Linked DNA regions of Caenorhabditis elegans. The protein of the gene in region 1 purifies or fractionates together with the protein of each later gene. This does not show direct contact. Each region holds a gene or a part of one and is shown in the gene's direction. Other genes may lie near its edges. The genes, in order: rpl-7A and rpl-34.

Evidence for each region.
Region 2: the proteins of rpl-7A (region 1) and rpl-34 purify together in Caenorhabditis elegans (affinity purification with mass spectrometry; 2 studies listed by BioGRID, with this or other methods). This does not show direct contact.

The regions. Positions count from the first base shown.
Region 1 is NC_003282.8:4,388,579-4,392,646, reverse strand, and holds rpl-7A (Large ribosomal subunit protein eL8), read left to right. Parts: upstream 1-2,056; 5' UTR 2,057-2,082; coding exon 2,083-2,085; intron 2,086-2,186; coding exon 2,187-2,310; intron 2,311-2,338; exon of another isoform or gene 2,339-2,559; intron 2,560-2,606; coding exon 2,607-2,756; exon of another isoform or gene 2,757-2,843; intron 2,844-2,896; coding exon 2,897-3,248; intron 3,249-3,302; coding exon 3,303-3,471; 3' UTR 3,472-3,504; downstream 3,505-4,068. Other genes in the region: set-21 (SET domain-containing protein), read right to left, coding at 1-361, 660-791, 850-1,096, 1,152-1,656, 1,719-1,779; tald-1 (Transaldolase), read right to left, coding at 3,882-4,039.
Region 2 is NC_003282.8:12,267,202-12,270,319, forward strand, and holds rpl-34 (Large ribosomal subunit protein eL34), read left to right. Parts: upstream 1-1,793; 5' UTR 1,794-1,800; coding exon 1,801-1,959; intron 1,960-2,086; coding exon 2,087-2,260; 3' UTR 2,261-2,332; downstream 2,333-3,118. Other genes in the region: ppm-1.H (PPM-type phosphatase domain-containing protein), read right to left, coding at 1-151, 523-695, 745-909, 964-1,105; C42C1.3 (Ovule protein), read right to left, coding at 2,393-2,485, 2,532-2,696, 2,747-2,885, 2,933-3,103.

The DNA.
Region 1 (4,068 bases):
GCTTCGTGTATTCCTTGCTGAATTTCACCTCCTGGAGAAGCCTCCGGAACTTTACATCGTCGCTATACGTGATTTGATACGCGTAGTCTCTATTATCGAGCTCCATATTCTTCAGCTCGACAATCTCGCCCGTAAACTCCATGAGTGGCGTGCCAGCCGGAATCATGACTGTTGAGCGGACAACGAATCCGACGGCCGGATCATTTCGGTATATTTCGAGCGGGAAGAGCTTCTTGTGCGGCAATAACATTGAATTGTTGGTGCATTTTCCACCGCATCCGCAAAGCTCGGAGCACGCGAACCCGGCGTGATCGTAGTAATGATCCTTCGGGTTGAAGAAGTAGATGGGTTTGAAGGATGTCTGAAATTTCAAAGGGTTAGAAGAGCAGAAAGGGCGATTCTACAAAATGAACCAATTTGGCATGTTCTCCCAACATTTTTCATTAAAGTTAAGTGATAAACCACAGAAAAACGCCTGTTTTATCTGAAAATTACTTTTATTTAGCTTGAAACAACTGAAAAAGTGCTCGAAAGTTGTCTTTCCCGGCAATTTTCCACTTTCAGACACTATATTTTCGCACAAAATTTCAATAAAAAATATCGGAAAATCATGCCATATCGGCTCGTTTTCTAGAATTCCTGAAGCTTCATCCACATACGAATTCAGTTTTTCCACAACCCTCCCGTGGTATTTGAAATCCTTGCATGCGCTGGTTCATAATGAAGCACGGGCATTTTTCGTTCTCGTAGCAAGGGACAATCGGCTTTGAAGAGCAACATGTACACCGTATCTGAATAAAAATACGATTTTTTTGCTGTGAAAAATGAATTTAAAAAAATGCTACAAACCATATTTTCTCCGTTTTCCTCAGACATTATGATCGCTTTCGTTAAATTGGGCTCTGTGAACTGATCGACCATGTTCACGTCAGTGTAGTCGTAGGTAAGGGTTACCGGAATCTCCAGAGACTCTAAAGTCTCGCCTTCAAGATCCGAATACACTGGAATGACGTCATTCTCGTTGAATGTGAGGTTCGATTTTATCCGTATCCTGTTTTTCGGCGGCTCGTAAGCTGGGAAATATTCCTGTAGACTTCTGAAAATCCTCCATATTTTCGATTTTCAGTAAGAAAAAGAACATTTATGCTTACTCGGGGGTGATTTCCGTCGATGTGCCCTGTTCTGCCAGCAAATGCTTCATCAAATTATTGTTAGTCCTGGCCATTACTATCCGCTGGGCTATGAAGCGCATGCACCGCCCGAGATCCTTGTTTTCAGTCTCTTGGTACTCATAATACGTGTTCAGCTCGGGATCATCGCGAATTCTCTCCAGCAGATTCAAATGAGCGTTCAGTGTTATTATGTTCGGCTCCACATTGATCCTTGTCAATTCTGAATTATCCTTGAGTAGCTGGCAACGATCGCGATAACTTGACAACTGATATGAGGAGTATCGCAAATACACTGGAAGTTCCAACTTGAAAGGAGGTGCTTTGAAAGCGAATTTTATCACACGTAACATTTCCGATGTTTTGTCAGCTGAATATTTTTTCAGCGCACGCTTCGTCTCGACATACTTCGCGTCTTCATCATCTGTCGGTAGCCGCATTGCCTTGGATCTTTTCCTTGGAGGTTCCGCATTGGATGATTTGTCGTCTGAATATTTAAAAAAATCAATAATATTGTTATCATGCTATCAGAAAAAAAAATTAACATACCGTTTTCTCCTATGGATCTTTTTTGGGCCTTAGATTTTAATTTCTCGGCATCTACAGGCATTGGAGTAGTTTTAAGTCGCTGAAAATCTACATGTGGAATATATAAAAAATTATTAAGCAAGGTCCAACGACAAAAATGATCCAAAAAGCGTTTTCTGAGTTGAAAACTCGAAAATGTTGTTTCGTTTTCGCGAATTTTAAGACAAAAAACTCAATTTCAAACAGCGCGCGCAAAAGGCGCAGCATGTGCGCCCTGCCGCACACATTTCGCTACTGACTATCAAACGTTGAATACTCAGTCAACGACTGTCCTTGGCCTAAAAATCGTCGCTCATTTTACTTTTGGGCCCGTCGTCCATACAAGATGGTGAGTTTTTTCTTAATTTGCATTAAACTTGTCATTTTTGTCATAGTTTTATGCAAATTTTCCCAATTTTTATGTTAAATTATATAATTTTCCTGTTTCAGCCTAGCAAGAAGGTTATCAAGAAGAAAGTCGCCGCTGTTCCGGCGCACATTCGTGCCCAAACTCAAGTCCAGAAGGAAGTGAAGAACCCACTCTTCGAGAAGAGAGCTCGCAACTTCAACATCGGTACGTTTCGAAACAATTCGTAGTTTCTCTCGACATGTGACTAGCGATCCTCTTCGGGGTTGATTGCTTTTCTTAGTGGAGCATCGGGGGCTTTCTGTAAAGTTGACTCCGATCCACCTTGTCGTATACCAACAGTCTGTGTGGCCCTCTACCGCTATTTGAGATGCCCGGGCTGGATTGCATATTCCTTATCCTTCCGTAGATCCTATGGGTCCGTGACGGTTAGGACAAACCATGCAAATTACAAATATCCTAAAAACGTTCCAAGATTTTATTATAATTAAATCTTTTTACAGGACAAGACATCCAGCCAAAGAAGGACGTCACCCGATTCGTCAAATGGCCAAAGTACATCCGTCTCCAGCGTCAATCCGCCATTCTCCAGAAGCGCCTGAAGGTTCCACCAACCATCAACCAGTTCAGAACCGCTCTTGACAGCCAGTCCGGTTGGTATAGCTAATTTTTTATCAGAGTCATGTACTATAAGCAAGCCTTGAGCTTTGCACTGACGCATTTACTCTGATAGGTGAAGTAAGGCTTTTGACTTTACGCTGTTATGTTTCCAGTGGTAATTTTCTGTTTTCAGCTAGACAAGCCTTCAAGCTCTTGGACAAGTACCGCCCGGAGTCGACCGAGGCCAAGAAGAACCGTCTCCGTGCTCGTGCCGAGGCTCGCGCTGCTGGAAAGAAGGAGGAGGTCACCAAGAGACCAAACACCGTTCGCCACGGAGTCAACACCATCACCAGACTCGTCGAGACCCGCAGAGCTCAATTGGTTCTCATCGCTCACGACGTCAACCCACTCGAGATCGTGCTCCACCTTCCAGCCCTCTGCAGAAAGTACAACGTTCCATACGCCATCATCAAGGGAAAGGCTTCCCTCGGAACCGTCGTCCGCAGAAAGACCACCGCCGCTGTTGCTCTCGTCGATGTCAACCCGTAAGTTTCAGATTCTATAGTTTCTTGAGCAAATAATTATTTCTTTGTATTCAGAGAGGACAAATCTGCCTTGAACAAGCTCGTCGAGACCGTCAACAACAACTTCAGCGAGCGTCACGAGGAGATCCGCAAGCACTGGGGAGGAGGTGTCATGTCCGCCAAGTCTGATGCCAAGAAGCTCAAGATCGAGCGCGCTCGTGCCCGTGATCTTGGAAAGCTCTAAATTGTTTTTGTTGATAATAAAAACTTGTTATTCAAAGCTTGTATCTTTTTCAATAATTGGTAGTCTTCGTGGTACTCATTTGGATCGGTCTTGTTGGATATTGTTGAGAACAGTTTTCCCGAGAAGTGTCTCCCTAGTTCGTCGTTGTCTTGGAGCTTGCTGGTTGTCTGCGATATGGTTTCACTGAACAATTCTAGTTGGGTTCAATTCCGGGTGTCACAGCCACAACTGTCCAGAAACTTGCAGAGTGCGATAAGAGTTCGGCTATTTTGTGTATCTTGCCTTTACAGTGCTCTTTAAATTACATAAGGGTTCATTAAAATACGTAACGAAATATTTAAGGGGAAATCACAACACTGATGAAATTGGGGAAAACTAGTAAGCACGACAAATACATCAATCAATACAATTTAGATCTTTGCCTCGATAAGCTTCTCCAGAGTTCTGGCGTCTTTGGCAAAGTTGCGGATTCCTTCGGCGAGCTTCTCGGTGGCCATGGCGTCCTCGTTGAGAGCCCATCTGAACGCCTTCTCGTCAATGCTCACTTTCGGCAGGTCGAGTGTCTTGGCTGGAAAATAATTAAAAATTGCAATTTTT
Region 2 (3,118 bases), 7.9 Mb from region 1:
GAAGAATAGTGTCGAGTACTTCACATAACCGAGACTTTACGTGCTCATGAAGGCACTTACTGGCGACAACAGCAACTGCCGAGCCAGCATGACCATCGAATAAACTGAATAGAGCTCCGTCGGCTCGTGGAGCAAACATGCTGGATTTTTCCTGGAACCGAGAAATATATTCTGATGAAACAAGAGAGAGGGGGCCAACTAATAATTGGAATTCAATTTCTACTTTATCGTACGGATTGATTTGAATAGGTTGCCGCGGGAATTGTGTTAAACATCACTTTTTGGAATTTTCACTGCCATTTTTTTGTTCGGGATTTCGTTATAGCAAACTTCTTTTCGTTACTGTAAACTTTAAAAGCTGCAAAAAATGCTTGATTGTTTTCGTGGTGAAATCAATCCGCATAAGTCTGTGCGCCTTTAAGTACGTGTTCCAGAATAGTGAGAAATTACAATATTTTTAAAGTTGGAAACATTTAAAAAAAACTATTTACAATTCACATTTACGACATTCAGATAGCTCACGGTATCATCTCCTCCAGGCGTTAACATTGGATCATCATCATTTTCATTGGAATTTCTTTTTCTCGTTTCAGATTTCTTTTCGTCGGACGAAAACCCGTTCATTTCGTTTCCCTGGTGTTGTGTCAGAACTAACATTTTTGCAGAGGCTTGATCCTCATTTTGGACAGTTTTTCCTAAATTTTATTTTTTTTCCAACAAAATTGAAGATTTTCTCAATAATACCCGCATTTATTGCTTCTGCATAACCAACATAAAGGGGCATTCGGTGTGGAAATCTGGGACAAAGAACAGGACGGACAGAATGATCAGATGATAATGCGATTTCTTCTTCAGAAAAATACAAAAATTCGGGGCGACTGTATGGATATCTTTGTTTTTCGATTAGTGCTGGAATTCGAGGCTTTCATATTGAAAAGATTGCAAAACTACGAGAATTCTTACATGGAATGAATCCACCAATAAAAACACCATCACTGACATCCATCACTCTTCCCACTTTTGGTGGATTACTAGAAGAAGCCGTTGACGGATCAGAAGTTGATGTTCGACCGACAACGGATATCACCCGTGCAGCAATATCCATCTTTAACTTTCTTAAATGAAAATATTTATACTTTTAAAATTTCCAAACGCTTTGAAATTCAGGAAATATTGAAAATCTACTAAAACTAAAATAGAAATCTCGATGAGACATTTCCGAAGAAAATGATGTTCTGTTTTAAGCCCTCTTTCCTTCGTTAGCTCTTATTGATTCGGCGTTATTCTGCTGGTTAAGCCAGAGACACTCCGTCTCTCCTCTTGTGTCGATTTACGAGCGAAATGAATGCAACGACACATGGTAAACGAGTGTTACCGTAGTCTTCGCGCCGAGGAACAGCCGTCTCACTAAATTGAGAAATTTTTCCTTTTCCTACTCTTTTTTGTTGATTTTTTAAGGTTTTGACCGATTTTATCATACAAAATACGTATTAAAAATTCAATATAATGTTCGTATTCATGTAAAATCCATAATCGATGAAAAAACGCCTATTAAATGCCCAAAAAGTGATAATTGTCGAAAAATTAGATTTTAATCGTTTTCCTATTTTAAGTGGTGTTTCAAACGAATTACAAGAACATTTTACGTGTTTAGTATTATTTCAGCCCTGCTAAATTAATTCCAGTTGAAATTCGGCGTTTTAGCATGCATATAATGATAATTTCAAATATTCTTTCTCTAATTTTCGTATCTGTATTTTTTTGTTTCGAAATAATACTTGCATATTTTTCAGGTAAAAAATGTCCCTCCGCGTTACCTACAGACGCCGTTTGTCGTACAACACCACCTCCAACAAGAAGCGTCTTGTCAAGACCCCAGGAGGACGTCTCGTTGTCCAATACATCAAGAAGAGAGGACAAATTCCAAAGTGCAGAGACACCGGAGTCAAGCTCCACGGAGTACGTTTTTACTTCTAATTATTTTTATTTCAAGTAGTTTATCACAATATAGGCACCTTAATTGTAAATTGAAATCTGAGTTTTGAACATCAACAAGAATTTTCAAATTAATTATTGTCGCTTTCAGATCACCCCAGCTCGCCCAATCGCTCTCCGCCTTCTCAAGAGAAACGAGCGTACCGTCACCAGAGCCTACGGAGGATGCCTCTCACCAAACGCCGTTAAGGAGCGCATTACCCGTGCTTTCCTCGTCGAGGAGCAGAAGATCGTCAACAAGGTCATCAAGCACCAGAAGGACTAAGCTCGTTCGTTTTGTTGTTTTCAATAAATTGTTATGAAAGAAACTAGTTTAATCGAGCAAAACATAAATATATATATCACAGGGAAATGTAAGTTAAGTTAGATTTAGTTATATAATATTAAAAATATAGTGTTACAACGAATTGCATCCACTACTAGACGAATCTATGCCAGAAATTGATTTTGAGTGCTTCTTGCAACTCGTCTTTTTCTCTCTTTTCGACTTCTGAAAAAAAAAACAAAATGTAGGTACACCAGAGTTCGAATATTACCATTATAGCATTTTTAACGACAGAACTATGCTGATGTGGTGCAATTTTTGACAGTTTACTTCCTTGCATCTTGTCAAGTGGCAGAATTACTTCTTCGAATAACGCTACCCATTGTGATTGTTTATGCAAATCTTCGTAGTCGAACTGCCGGGGACATACACCATTCTGGAATTAAATTTTGAAAAATTAGTTTAAGAGATGCATATTATACGAACCTGCGTTACGTATAGACAAAAAGGTATTTCTACAGAAGTATTCCAATCTGAACGCAGTTGATCTTTCGAAGCAAGACGCATTGTTGCTTGTGCACCTGCTTGAGAAATTAGACAGGGATGATTGTGCAGGTTGTTACTTCTGAAATCATAGTAATTAAAAACACAATAAACTCAAAAACTACATACGAAATTAGTTCATCTAATCTTATGAGTACACTTTTAATTTCTTCCATAGATAATATATTTGAAACGGCAGCATTCGAGAAAATGAACGTTGGTGGATGGACAGGAAACGAAGCAAAATGTTCTACTGCGAGAAATGGTGCCACATGTGGATAATCATCGTAACAACTGAAACTGAATACAAAGATT